Anolis sagrei: one gene and its partner. Each later gene encodes a partner of the first gene's protein in a complex. Links are inferred from orthologs where the notes say so. Each region holds a gene or a part of one and is shown on either strand. Other genes may lie near its edges.

Region 1 (7,883 bases):
AAACCCCCAAGAAGAAACAACCCACAACAACAACAAACCCTTTCCTTTAGCTATAGATACATAGATAGATAGATGATTATTATTCAAGTACCCTTTCCTAAAGGGGAAATTATGCACCACAACACCAGGAAGATCTCTCCCTCTTTCTCTCCCTTCTTTCTCTCCCTTCTTTCTCTCCTTTTCTTTCTCTTCCTTCCTCTTTCTTACTTCCTTCCCTCTTTTTTCCATGGCTTACTTGTACACAAACTTTCCAACCAAACAAGGCTCTCCTTCCAAAAGAACAAGAAGGAACAATCCACAATAAGAACAATCCCTTTCCTTTAGATATAGATAGATGATTATTATGCATGTAGCCTTTCCTAAAGGGAGAATTATGCACACCAACACCAGGAAGATCTCTCCCTCTTTCTCTCTCTTCCTTCTTTCTCTCCTTTTCTTTCCTTCCTTTCCCCCTCTTTTCCATTACTTTCTTGTACACAAATTCCCCCAAAGGAACCTTCCAACCAAACAAGGCTCTCCTTCCCAAAAAAAACCCAAGAAGGAACAACTCACAATAACAATAAGAACAACAACAATCCCTTTCCTTTAGATATAGATAGATAATTATTATTCAAGTAACCTTTCTTAAAAGGGGGGAATTATGCACCACAACACCAGGAAGATCTCTACCTCTTTCTTTCTCTTCCTTCTTTCCTTTTCTTTCTCTCTTTCCCTTCTTTCCTCTTTCTTTCTTTCTATTCTTCTGCTTTTCCATTACTTACTTATACACAGAGTCCTCCAAAGGAACTTTCCAACCAAACAAGAAGGAACAACCCACAACAACAACAATCTCTTTTCCTATAGATTTAGATACATAGATAGATAGATATTATTCAAGTAGCCTTTCCTAAAGGGGGAATTATATACCACAACACCAGGAAGATCTCTCCCTCTTTCTCTCTTTCCCTTCTTTCCTCTTCCTTCCTCCCTTTCCCCCTCTTTTCCATTACTTACTTTGTATACAAGTCCCCTCAAAGGAACTTTCCAACCAAACAAGGCTCTCCTTCCAGAAAACAAGAAGGAACAACCCACAACAACAACAACAACAACAACCCCTTTTCCTATAGATTTAGATACATAGATAGATCATTATTATTCAAGTAACCTTTCCTAAAGGGGGAATTATACACCACAACACCAGGAAGATCTCTCTTTCTTTCTCTCTTTCCCTTCTTTCCTTCCTTCTCCCCTCTTTTCCATTACTTACTTGTATACAAAGTCCCCCAAAATGAACTTTCCAACCAAACAAGGCTCTCCTTCCAAGAAAACCCAAGGAACAACCCACAATAACAACAAGCCCTTTCCTTTAGTTATACAGATATATTATTATTATTATTATTATTATTCAAGTAACCTTTCCTAAAGGGGGAATTGTGCATCACAACACCAGGAAGGTCTCTCCCTCTTTCTTTCTCTCCCTTCTTTCTCTCCTTTTCTTCCTTCCTTCCTTTCCCCTTCTTTTCCATTACTTACTTGTATACAACGTCCCCCAAAAGGAACTTTCCAACCAAACAAGGCTCTCCTTCCAGAAAACAAGAAGGAACAACCCACAACAACAACAACAACAACAACCCCTTTTCCTATAGATTTAGATACATAGATAGATCATTATTATTCAAGTAACCTTTCCTAAAGGGGGAATTATACACCACAACACCAGGAAGATCTCTCTTTCTTTCTCTCTTTCCCTTCTTTCCTTCCTTCTCCCCTCTTTTCCATTACTTACTTGTATACAAAGTCCCCCAAAATGAACTTTCCAACCAAACAAGGCTCTCCTTCCAAGAAAACCCAAGGAACAACCCACAATAACAACAAGCCCTTTCCTTTAGTTATACAGATATATTATTATTATTATTATTATTATTATTATTATTATTCAAGTAACCTTTCCTAAAGGGGGAATTGTGCATCACAACACCAGGAAGGTCTCTCCCTCTTTCTTTCTCTCCCTTCTTTCTCTCCTTTTCTTCCTTCCTTCCTTTCCCCTTCTTTTCCATTACTTACTTGTATACAACGTCCCCCAAAAGGAACTTTCCAACCAAACAAGGCTCTCCTTCCAGAAAACAAGAAGGAACAACACACAACAACAACAAGATCTCTCCCTCTTTCTTTCTCTCTTTCCCTTCTTTCCCATTACTTACTTGCATACAAAATCCCCCAAAAGGAACTTTCCAACCAAACAAGGCTCTCCTTCCAAGAAGGAACAACCCACAATAACAACAACAAGCCCTTTTCTTTAGATATTATTATTATTATTGTTGTTGTTGTTATTATTATTATCCAAGTAGCCTTTCCCAAAAGGGGAATTATACACCACAACACCAGGAAGACCTCTCCCTCCCTCTTTCTTTCTTTCTTTCTCATCCCTCTTTCTTTTCTTTTCTCTCCTTCCCTTTCTTTTCTCTCTTTCTTTTCCCCTGCTTTCCCATGACTTACTTGTACACAAAGTCCCCCAAAGGAAGGCGAAAGTGAGCCACGGCACCCTCATATTCCTTTTTCTCCTCGTGGTGCTTGTTTACTCCGCTTTCAAGGGGAGGAGGAGGAGGAGGAGGAGAAGGCAAGCAAACTCTCCAAGAACGGCAAGATCCTCTTCCAAACAGATACAGAGTTATCAATATATGTGTCAGGGGAAAAATATCCAAAGGTTCCCTTTCAATAACAATAGTATCTTTGAGACTAAATCCTTTCCCGGCTGCGTCCAGGTCCAAGAAGGGGAGAGAAGAGTCTTTTTAAATCCTCAAAAAGGGGGGGAAAGAATAGTCCAACCCGAGCGTGAGAGCCTGGACTCTTTTGCTTTTTTCCTTCCTTCCTTTTGGAGGTAAAGAGAGGAATCCTTCCAAGGATGGGGATGGGGAATCAACGCAGTAAATCCGGCCGCAAGGAAGAAGAAGAAGAGAAGGAGGAGAAGGCAATGGAGAAGCAAACTTTGCAGAAAGGGGGATCCAGGGCTGAAGCAAGGCGACGAAAAGGAGGAGATTGAGGAGGAGACCCGGCGCCGCTGCCGTCCGCTCCAATGGTGGTTCTGAACAGAGCCAAAGGCGAGGAGGGAAGCGCCAAGCCGGTGCCTCTGCTGCTCCTGCTCTTGCTCCTGCTGCTGCTGCTGCTATTGTGGCTCCTGTTCCTTCTGGAGAGGAGGGCGAGGAAGAAGAGGAGGAGGAGGAAGAAGGAGAAGAAGGCTGCCGGTCCGCTCAGAGGCATCGCTCGCTTGGCTTTGGCGCTCGGGGGGCGAAAGGGGGGCGCGCGGCTGGGAGAAGGAGGAGGGGGAGACGCGGGAGCGCGCGCGGGGGGGGAAAGGGGGACGCGCACGCGCACAGGCTCAGCCCCGCGCCCCTCCTCCGGGATCCCCCTCCCTCCCTCCTTCCCTTCGCGTGCACGCGCGCGCGCTCCCAGGCTGAGGTTGCTCCTTCTTCCTCCTCCTCCTCCTCTTGTTTTCCCCTCCCCTTGAAAGGAAGGAGGGAATGTTTACATAGTATCTCTCTCTCTCCCTCTCTGTGTATATATGTGTGTGTGTGTGTATATATATATATACATATACATATATACATACATACACACACACACACACTATCTGTATCTATTTATATAGATAAATATATATAAAATATATAAATATAAAAACTCTAAAATTACAACAGCACAACAACAGAGAGGAAACAAGCAAGGACATTAACCACCTCTCAACAAAAGTTTGCTGTGTGTGTGTGTGTGTATATATATATATATATATATACACACACACACACACTATCTGTATCTATTTATGTAGATAAATATATATAAAATATATAAATATAAAAACTCTAAAATTACAACAGCACAACAACAGAGAAGAAACAAACAAGGACATCTAACCACCTCTCAACAAAAGTTTGCTGTGTGTGTGTGTATATATATACACACACACACACACACACTATCTGCATCTATTCATATAGATAAATATATATATAATATATAAATATAAAAACTCTAAAATTACAACAGCGCAACAACAGAGAGGAAACAAACAAGGACATCTAACCACCTCTCAACAAAAGTTTGCTCTGTGTGTGTGTATATATATATATATATATACACACACACACTATCTGTATCTATTTATGTAGATAAATATATATAAAATATATAAATATAAAAACTCTAAAATTACAACAGCACAACAACAGAGAGGAAACAAGCAAGGACATCTAATCACCTCTCAACAAAAGTTTGCTGCATGTGTGTGTATAGATATATATACACACACACACTATCTGTATCTATTTATATAGATAAATATATATATATAATATATAAATATAAAAACTCTAAGATTACAACAGCACAACAACAGAGAGGAAACAAACAAGGACATCTAATCACCTCTCAACAAAAGTTTGCACCAGGCACTGTCAGGCTGTTATATGCTAATCAAGGTGGTCAGTTGAAACATTCACACCTAGCTCCAGCAGACAAGAGTCCTTTGTCCCACCCTAGTCATTCCACAGATATATAAACCCATTTTCCTAGTTCCAACAGACTTTACTATCTCTGAGGATGCTTGCCATAGATGCAGGCGAAACGTCAGGGGAGAATGCCTCTAGACCATGGCCATATAGCCCGAAAAAACCTACAACAACCCACAAATAGGGCTGATATATATATAAATAGATAGATAGATAGATAGATAGATAGACAGATAGATCTCCACACACACATATTATATATTTGTATACAGACATTTATATACACATATTGATCCACACAGGACCTTTATATATATATATATATATATATATATATATATATATATATATATATATAAAAGGTCCTGTGTGGATCAATATGTGTATATAAATGTCTGTATACAAATATATAATATGTATATATATATGCGTGTGTGTGTGTATACACACGTACACTTGAATAGGTATATATATATATATAATATATATATATATATATGCATGTGTGTGTGTCTACACGTACACTTGAATAGGTATACAGGCGCACGCACACATGCACACATACACACACACATATACCGACACACACAAACAGGACCTATATATGCACACATACATACACACACACACAAACAGGGCCAATATATATATAGATAAATCTCCACACACATATTATATATTTGTATACAGACATTTATATACACATATTAATCTACACTGGACCTTGATTTTTTTTTTATATATATATATATATACACACACACACACTCAAAAAGGACCTATTAGGAGTGTGTGTATGTGTATATATATATATATATATATTAGGGCTGGGCGGTTTCGTTTCGTTAATTCGTAATTCGTTAATAATTCGTTAATTTTTTCAATTACAAAACGATAACGAACCATTCTGGAGCAATTATTAAAAAAAACGAATTTTCAAAAACGTTTTGTAAATGCTTCGTATTTCGATATTGTATTCGTTTCGTTATTGTTTTGAGGTCGTTTCGTTATTATTTCCGCATGTCTGGGCCAGTTTTATGGTTTAATTAGTGAAAAAAAATTATAATATCACACCAACAGTCAACAACAGAGGGAGAGGGAAGCTTCAGAAGGTTTTGGAGGTTTTTTAGCGTATTTCGCGGTCGCGTCCGCCATTAATGAATTGATTCGTTATTGTTTCGGAAATCGATTCGTTAATTTTTTACCATTTACGAAATTTCGTAAATATCGAACTTTTTAAAAGGAAAATTTTGTAATTATTTTAAATATCGAAACAAAAAAAAACCCCCAAATACAAATCGATTTTAGAAACAAATTTTTCCGTTGTTACCCAGGCCTAATATATATATATATATATATACACACACACACACACACATACACACATATATAGTATATGTGTGTGTGTATATATATATATATATACACACACACATATACATACACATACAAGCACATAAATGCATACACACACAGCACACACAAGGATGCTAATATATATGTGTATATATATAATATAATATATAGATAGATACACACACACACACGAAAAGGACCTCAATATCTATCTCTCTATATATATATATTACACACACCCATTACATATCTCACCAGAATTACTATGAGCTGTTAAATAGTGTATTTAATATTTAATATTTTTTTATAATAATAATATATTTTGGGGAACCCTCTTCTCTATTACTGGACTGTTTCATCCTGTGAAGGGTGTATACATATCCCATAGGAGAAATTGTAATAATAATAATAATAAATACAGAATTATAAGCTATATTTTAGGGAAGATTAGAAAAATAAAAGAAACAAAATTCAGGGTGTAAACTTTGGTAGAAACCCTATATGTATCTCTGTAGGTTTATATATTTATGTGCGTCTATATATATATATTAACACACATATACCTCTCAGTGGGAAAGACCCGGATGTTTGATACAAAGAAAAAGGGGCGGAGTCTCAGAAAGGGGCGGGGTGGTAATAAAGGTTCTGAAGAGGCCGCTGCGTTAGGATTGGCCGGAGGCGCCTGCTCGTCAAGGCGCACGAGGGGGCGGGGCTTGGGTGGAACGCGCGAGGCGCAGAGGGAAGCCAGTCCGAGGGGAGGGGGAGAGAGCGGGAGGCGAGTGCGCGCATGCGCGGCCCCGGATTGTTGTTCTCCCGCGTGCTCCTCTTGCAGGGTCTCCTTCCTTCTGTATAAGGTTCTGCTCCTGAAGTCCCAGCTAGACTAAGAATTGATTGCATCTACACTAAAGCAAATTGTTAGGAATTGTGGGAGTTGAAGTCCAAAACACCTGGAGGGCCCAAGATTGCCCATGCCTGGTCTAAACATCCACTTAGGTAGATCTATAAACAGAAAGATACAGATAGATATGTAGAGGTGATTAGCAAACAACTAATTTTGGCATCTTGCAATTGCTAAAGATGAAATTGAGTGGGTTGCTGCAAGTTTTTTGGGCTGCCTGGCCATGTTCCGGAAGCATTCTCTTCTGACATTTTGCCCACATCTATGGCAGGCATCCTAAGAGGTTGTGGGATCATAGAATCAAAGAGTTGGAAAAGACCTCATGGGCCATCCAGTCCAACCCCCTGCCAAGAAGCAGGAATATTACATTCAAATCATCCCTGACAGATGGCCATCCAGCCTCTGTTTAAAAGCTTCCAAAGAAGGAGCCTCCACCACACTCCGGAGCAGAGAGTTCCACTGCTGAACGGCTCTCACAGTCAGGAAGTTCTTCCTCATGTTCAGATGGAATCTCCTCTCTTGTAGTTTGAAGCCATTGTTCCATTGCGTCCTAGTCTCCAAGGAAGCAGAAAACAAGCTTGCTCCCTCCTCCCTGTGGCTTCCTCTCACATATTTATACATGGCTATCATATCCCCTCTCAGCCTTCTCTTCTTCAGGTTAAACATGCCCAGCTCCTTAAGCCGCTCCTCATAGGGCTTGTTCTCCAGACCTTTTATCATTTTAGTCGCCCTCCTCTGGACACATTCCAGCTTGTCAATATCTCTCTTGAATTGTTGTGCCCAGAATTGGACACAATATTCCAGGTGTGATCTAACCAAAGCAGAATAGAATATGTTGGAAACTAGTAAAATTGGGTTTATATATCTGTGGAATAATGTCCAGGGTGGGAGAAAGATCTCTTTGTCTCCTTGAGGCAAGTGTGAGTGTTGCAATTGGAACAAGGCAGGAAACAATCAGGGCCAGCTAACACCCTGATTGTTCAACGTATTGTCGAAGGCTTTCATGGCTGGAATCACTGGATTGTACTACCTTGATTAGCATTGAATTGCCTTGCAGCTTCAAACCCTGGGTGCTTGCTGCCTGTGAGAATCCTTCGTTGAGAAGTGATTAGTTGTCACTAATTGTTTCTGGTTTTGTTCCAGTT
Region 2 (7,376 bases), on another chromosome or scaffold:
CTTCCAACTCTATTATTCTATTATTCTATGTACAGGCATATGTCAGTTCAGGAAACAAGGCTATCAAAATCTGAGAATATGGATGCAGTGGTACCTATGGTATGATATAGTTAAAATTAAAGCTAACTTTACTAATAATTATGTTAGACAAACTGCTCACTGGAGGGAAAGATACTAGAGACAAAGTTGAAGTACTTTGGCCACATCATGAGGAGACAGGAAAGCCTAGAGAAGACAATTATGCTGGGGAAAGTGGAAGGCAAAAGGAAGAGGGGCCGACCAAGGGCAAGATGGATGGATGGCATCCTTGAAGTGACTGGACTGACCTTGAGGGAGCTGGGGATGGTGACGGCCGACAGGGAGCTCTGGCGTGGACTGGTCCATGAAGTCACGAAGAGTCGGAGACGACTGAACGAATGAACAACAACATGTTAGACAAAGTGTTTTTAGCATTCAAAGTTTCAGAAGTGCTCAGGAGTGCATTTGCACAACTAAAACCAGAGGCGGCCCTAGATAATTTTCAACGGTAAGCAAACAGTATTTTGCCCCCCCCCCCCCAAAACCAATCACTGATATATATTTTCTGTTCGTGGTGGGAGTTATGTGTGCCATATTTGGTTCAATTCCATCATTGGTGGAGTTCAGAATGCTCTTTGATTGTAGGTGAACTATACATCCCAGTAACTACAACTTGCATATGTCAAGGCTTTTTTCCCCCCTCAAGAGCGCCTCATGAGCGCCCCTGGGCAAAATCAACTATACTGCAAATGCTTACTTTGCGTAATGGGTTGAGCCGCCCCTGGCTAAAACTAATGTGCCAGTGATGCCTACTCCTTAAGACATCAGAGCTGGCTACAGTGACACGTGCCTGGATTGTATTCTCTTTGGAGCAATATAATGTGCTCCACATGGGTTGTCTTTGAAAACTGTTCAGAAACTTCAGCAGGTCCAAAGTATTGCTGCCAGAATGATGGCTGTGGTCAGTTATACGGAGCATATAATTCCCTTGTTAAAACAGTTGCACTGGTCATCAGTTCATTTCTGGGCCCAATTCATAGTGTTGATCAAGACCTATAAAATCCTCTGTGGCTTAGATCAAGACTAGTGAAAAAAATATGTCTCCTCACACAAGTCTACTATGGTTCTGACGAAGGTTTGCGCTCAGTCTCCCAACATTGCACACTCGCTTGGTGAGGACAAAATAGTCTTCTCAGTGGCTGCTGCCATCTTCTGCAGGAAGCTAGGTTTGCCCTTTCATTGTTTTTCTTTTCCCAGCAGGCAAAGGCCTTTTCGTTTAAGCAGATTTGAAATATATAAGCCAGGAAGTTTTTTTTTAGTAAGAGCTTTTATTTGTCTTTTTAAACTTTGTATGTTTTTTTACATTATTTTATTGTTTTATGTAGTGATTTAAATAGTTTTAAAATTTATTCTGGGAGAAGACATACAAAGGCATACAAATGAAGCTGATACACACATACAAACAGGCATCCATAATAATGTTGTTTGTTATATAGAGCTAAAAAAGATCTCCAAAGTAAGGGTGGCTTGTATCATATGAAATCAGGAAGATTCATAGATACATAAACCTCACTTGCCTAGTTTCCAACAGACCTCACAAACTCTGAGGATGCCTACCATAGATAATAATAATAATAATAATAATAATAATAATAATAATACTTTATTTATACCCCGCCACCATCTCCCCAAGGGACTTGGAGTGGCTTACATGAGGCCAAGCCCAACAACACATCAGTAAAAATAACAAGCAATAAGCAAATAAACAATACAATTAATATAACTCACATATAGACAATAATACAAAAAGATTTAAAAACCTATGGCCGGGCCAGACGTAATAGTTAAAATTTTAAAAATAACTAGCTGTGCCCTGCCACGCGTTGCTGTGGCCTATAGTAAAACTTATCAAAGTTGAGGTAGATATCTGGACTATTATGAAAGAGAGGTCCCTACCTATTCCTTCCCCCTTTTCCTCCCCCTTTCTCTCCTTTCTTCCTTCTCTACCTCTTTCTTTCTTTCCTTCTTTCACTACTTGGTTTCATCCTTCTCTCTTTCCTTCATTCCTTCCCCCTTTCTTCCTTTGCCTTTCTTCCCTCCCTGTTTGCTTCCTTCTTTCACTTTTTATTTCCTTTTATTTCACCACCATCATAACAATAACAATAATGCAATGCATTGCCTCCGGGACCTGACACCTCTCCCATCATTCCCCCTAAAAGGGTCTCATAGGAACAATAGCATAATAATAATAATAGAAATAACAACCTTTACCCGCCACGTGTTGCTGTGGCCAATCTTCCCTCCTTCTCTCCTTCTTTCCCTCCCTCCCTCCCTCCCTCCCTCCCTCCCTCCTTCCTTCCTTCCTTCCTTCCTTCCCATCTTTCCTTCTCCTCTTCTTTCTCTATCTCTTTCCTTAGTTCCCCCTTTTTCTTTCTCTTCTGCTGTCTCTCTTTTCTTTCCTTCCATCTTTCCTTTTCTTTCCTTTTCTTCTTCCTCTAACTTTCCTTCCTTCCCCCTTTTTGTTTACCTCCCTTTCTCTTTCTTCCTTCTTTCCTTCCTTCCTGTCTTTCCTAGATTTTGACAGGGCGGGAAGGGGCGGGGTGGGGTTTGGAGGTGGCGTGAAGTAAAAGGCGGTAAGATTGGGGCAGGGGAGTGATGGAGCGTGGGGTTGCGTGTGTGTGTGCGGCAGCGGGGGAAGTGATGGAGCGTGGGGTTGTGTGTGTGTGCGGCGGTGGGGGGAGTGATGGAGCGTGGGGTTGCGTGTGTGTGTGTGTGGCGACGGGGGGAGTTGGGTTGCGTGTGTGTATGCGGCGGCGGGGGGAGTGATGGAGCGTGGGGTTGCGTGTGTGTGTGCGGCAGGGTGTGTGTGTGTGCGGGAAGCGGCACGGCGGGGCTTGGAGTGGGAATGGTTTCCGCAGAGGGAACGTTGGCCGGAAGGCCATGTGCGCGCGCCAGGGAACTTGTGGCTGGGCGCCAATGCGCATGCTCAGTTGTTTTGCCGTTTTGTGAGTGTGTTGTTGTGTTGTTTTTCATTTTGAGTAGATATGTTTGTACCTTGTGGGGTGTGTTATGGGCACGGGAATTTTGGTTAAGTTTCGTTGGGGGATTTTTGAGTTTTGTTGTTTTGCTGTTTTGTGAGTGTGTGTTTTTCATTTTGAGTAGATATGTTTGTACCTTGTGGGTTGTGTTATGGGCACGGGGATTTTGGTTAAGTTTCGTTGGGGGATTTTTGAGTTTTGTTGTTTTGCCGTTTTGTGAGTGTGTTGTTGTGTTGTTTTTCATTTTGAGTAGGTATGTTTGTACCTTGTGGGTTGGGTTATGGGCACGGGGATTTTGGTTAAGTTTTATTGGGGGATTTTTGAGTTTTGTTGTTTTGCCGTTTTGTGAGTGTGTTGTTGTGTTGTTTTTCATTTTGAGTAGATATGTTTGTACCTTGTGGGTTGTGTTATGGGCACGGGGATTTTGGTTAAGTTTCGTTGGGGTTTTTTTGAGTTTTGTTGTTTTGCCGTTTTGTGAGTGTGTTGTTGTGTTGTTTTTCATTTTGAGTAGATATGTTTGTACCTTGTGGGTTGTGTTATGGGCATGGGAATTTTGGTTAAGTTTCGTTGGGGGGTTTTTGAGTTTTGTTTCCTCGTTGGATGCCCCTAACAAATTTATATATATAGATGTGGGAAAATTTTCAGGAGAGAATGCTTCTGGAACATGGCCATAGAGCCATGTTCCAGAAGCAACCCAATCAGCAACCCGATCAGCAACCTGATTGGGTTGCAACTCATAGCAACCCGATCAGACTCCCCTCCCCCCCCACAAACAACAGCAAGTCACTTGACTGAGAAATGAAAATATTTAAACGTTTATTTAACAATAATGGGATTATTTCTTGCCACAATAAAGCTCCTACATATGTGACTTTTTGAATGGTATGTCAAGATATTTTAGAACAGGTATTATTTCTTTCTTTTTATCTTAATTCTGTATGCTGTGGGAAACAAGAGGAAACTTCGTCCTAATGCCTTCCCCCAGACATCTTAAAATGAATATTGTTTGCTGGCAAGAAAATGATAAAGGAACATAATTAGGCAATGGTGACCGCAAAGAGGAACATGGATTCTTTTCTGGGTGCTATGTGCTTCTACCGACCATATGTACTTGTCTTATGTTTACAGAATATTCATTAGTGAAGAGCGCGGATAGATAAGAGACTGTGGTCAAGATAAGGGCAAGTGTATGGCCAATCTGCTTGATGATTCACAAGGGGCTAGCACTGGAAAAAACACGGCTGCAATGCAGCTTGAGAAAGTGGTCAGCCATTGGCATTCTGTGTTTGCATTTCAGACTTCAGTCAGCCTGCTCCCCTGGATCCTTACTGTATTATACCCTCGTTTAAAACAGGATTCATGAAAAATGTATTATTTCGGGGCCTTCACTCTTCTAAACATCATGATACCTTTGACAAGTGGGAAACCCATGGAAGCCCGGGACAGATTACTTACAACCCCAAACTCCCATGAATATTCTGGTGACATTGGGAGCGTGGAGGGAGAAGCCCAATTTGACTTTAAATCGTTTCTGGAGACTTTGAAAGCTGATTTCCTGAGGAACTTGAACTTGTCAGAAGTACCTTCAGAAGAGAAGATGAAAGAGGAACCACCACAATTCATGATTGATTTGTATAATAGATATAGCAAGGACAAGTCTACCAGCCCCATATCCAATATTGTGCGCAGCTTCAGTCCTGAAGGTAGGAGTTTTGGCTTTCCCCCACCCTCAACCCAAACATCTAGGCTAAGATCTTCCCCAGGCATCTTAGTGCCTTGTGTTCCCAGGAAATCTTAATTGTTTTTTTTAAATGCTCTACTAACAATTTTGTGTCATCTGTTTTCTTATATTATTTGTGAAATAGCCATTTAAAAAATCTTAAGGAGTTGGATGCATGAAACTAAGGAAAATAATATTTTTGACCTTATTTCTCCTCCAGCTCATTTAGATAGAAAGAAATTAATAGAAAAGAAAAAAAATCTGTGTAAAAACCATTTTCTCAGACTGGAACAATCTCCACATATTAGGAAAATGTCTAGTCCATATTAAATGACATAAAAGGAATCAATGTAATTTTCAGATGTTACAAAGGGAAATGTGAGAAAAGTTCTGCCTCAGTGGCCATAGAATAGAATAGGAATGAAGGCCAACCTTTCTGAGCTTTATGGCAGATAACAATGATCCCACCTCCAAACCAAAGAGTTATACTTTCAGCAGTGACCAAATTGAGATGCATCAAAAAGTTCATAATTAGTACAACTTATCAAGAAAGTACTCTTAGCTATTGGTAATTCTCTTTTGCAAACCACAGGAGGCAACTAGAAATATTTTCATTGCTTCACCTATGTGAATAGGAATACTTAAAAAAAAAACTCCAAGGGAATTCCACTTGAACATTAGGAAAAACTTCCTGATTGTGAGAGCTGTTCAGCAGTGGAACTCTCTGCCCCAGAGTGTGGTGGAGGCTCCTCCTTTGGAGGCTTTTAAACAGAGGCTGGATGGCCATCTGTCAGGGGTGCTTTGAATATGATTTTCCTGCTTCTTGGCAGGGGGTTGCTCTGGATGGCCCACGAGGTCTCTTCCATGATTCTATGAATATACCTTAATAATATCAGTATTAATCACAATCTAGGAAGAAGTGGAATAAATCAAAATTAGATGGCAGAACAATCAAAATATTATGGATTTAGCAATATTATGGATTTAGCAAGTATGCCTGCTGACAGAGAAAGGCCAGGAAGTCTTGAGGAAGGCAAGCAGGGACAGAGCTATCTTGGTCTCTCTTGGGAGGGGGTTCCACAGTATAAAAGCAGCCACCGAAAAGGCCCTCTCCTGTGTTCCCACCAAACACACTTGAGCAGGTGATGGTACAGAGAGAAGGTTGTCGCGTGTTGATTGTAGATGCCTCAGAGGTTCATAGAAAGAGATACAGTCCTTCAGATAACCTAAGACATATAAGGCTTTATAGGTCAAAACCTGCAATTTGAATGTATTAGCAGCCATAAGACCTGTTGTAACAGTGGAGTTGTACACTGCCTGTAGACAGTCCCAGTTAGCAGTCTCCCTCAGATAGCAGCGTTTAAAGCCCTCCTGGTCAGGTTTGTGTATTTCTTCACAAAAATCTTCCTGCTAATCTCTCTGAGGCACAAGCCATTCCTTGACAGAAGCTCAATGCAAGTAAACCATAGACCATGGACTCAGAAGCCAAACAGTTCCATCATCTGAGGATAAGGTTATTCACGTCTATTATCCTTTCCCTTCCTGGGTTGTTTCCTTAAAGTGGGAGGAAGATGAACTGGGATTCAAGGCCCATCCAACTTACTTCCTATGGCCTCATAATCCCATGTGATCTCTCAAAGGCTATTTCTTGTAGTGTCATTGGTTCCCACATGAACCAAAAGGAAGGAGTAATGGTCTGTAGGCTTTACAAGCCTTATCATCCTTTTGGTTACATCTTGGATTTTTTATCTAGGAAGACAGCACACTCTTGGGTCATCCTGTCACATCTGCAAACCACTGTTTCTGGTCCGCTATCACCATCACACATCTTTTGGCAGGGGTCATTGCATGTGCTGACTCTTCCAGGGGCATCCTGAGGAAATTGGTTGCTTCCACTATATTGGGTATTGCTGCAAGTAATGACAGTGTGAATAAATTGTCGAAATTTGCTTGAGATAGTGCTTGCAGTTCTGGAGGAACTCATTTAATTGTTGACAATGAAAGGGGGTTGCATTTTACATAAGCACAATATATCCCATCAGTGAGACTTGGGTACTCCAGGCTTGCATACATTACCCGTTTAGCCCACTTCCTGTCCCAAGGACTGAGATTAATTAAGTCTTTTTATATAGATTTGCAGTTCCAGATATACTTTAAGGGTTGATTTCATTTGATATAAGTCATACAATTTCATAAAAGTTGATTTCATACACAAGAGGAGATATAGCTGCCTGGACTTTTCCAGAGTTGAGGTGGAGAGGCATTTTGGAATTGCAAAATTGGTAAAATAAAAAATAAAATAAATTCATGTTTAATTCATCTCTGTTCATTTGTGTTTAATAAATTTCTCAATAACATTGTGACTTCCTTGGTGAAGTCTACTCATCTGAGAGACTATCTCTTTTTGTACTGCCCTCCCCTTTATCAAGCATTATTGTCTCTTCTTGTGGATCATGTCTTCTCAAAATATTTTATTTTAACCTGCTTCCTCCCAGGTTTTAAGTAAGTGTAGAAGGGCCCTAAGTCTCACTTTGGGATTTTTATTGTGCTTCAGCAGAGGTGGGTGTCTACAATGCATCCTACATTTTGCAGAACTATAT

Evidence for each region. Proteins that work in one complex are often made in the same cells at the same time.
Region 2: the proteins of ACVR2B (region 1) and GDF2 are in contact, whole or in part, in a crystal structure (PDB 4FAO), measured with the Homo sapiens proteins. The link is inferred for Anolis sagrei from reciprocal best matches to the Homo sapiens genes ACVR2B and GDF2. Residues at the interface, in NP_001097.2 of Homo sapiens: Asn35, Glu39, Cys49, Glu50, Glu52, Lys55, Leu57, Tyr60, Ser62, Arg64, Val73, Lys74, Cys77, Trp78, Leu79, Asp81, Phe82, Asn83, Glu94, Gln98, Val99, Phe101; in NP_057288.1 of Homo sapiens: Arg333, Ile346, Ala347, Pro348, Lys349, Glu350, Tyr351, Glu352, Lys397, Ser399, Pro400, Ile401, Ser402, Val403, Leu404, Lys406, Gly410, Val411, Pro412, Thr413, Leu414, Tyr416, His417.

The regions. Positions count from the first base shown.
Region 1 is NC_090026.1:122,946,497-122,954,379, reverse strand, and holds the start of ACVR2B (activin receptor type-2B), read right to left. Parts: upstream 3,298-7,883; 5' UTR 2,528-3,297; coding exon 2,476-2,527; intron 1-2,475. UniProt on the Homo sapiens protein: Transmembrane serine/threonine kinase activin type-2 receptor forming an activin receptor complex with activin type-1 serine/threonine kinase receptors (ACVR1, ACVR1B or ACVR1c).
Region 2 is NC_090023.1:142,237,102-142,244,477, reverse strand, and holds the start of GDF2 (growth/differentiation factor 2), read left to right. Parts: upstream 1-4,268; 5' UTR 4,269-4,422; coding exon 4,423-4,759; intron 4,760-7,376. UniProt on the Homo sapiens protein: Potent circulating inhibitor of angiogenesis. Signals through the type I activin receptor ACVRL1 but not other Alks. Signaling through SMAD1 in endothelial cells requires TGF-beta coreceptor endoglin/ENG.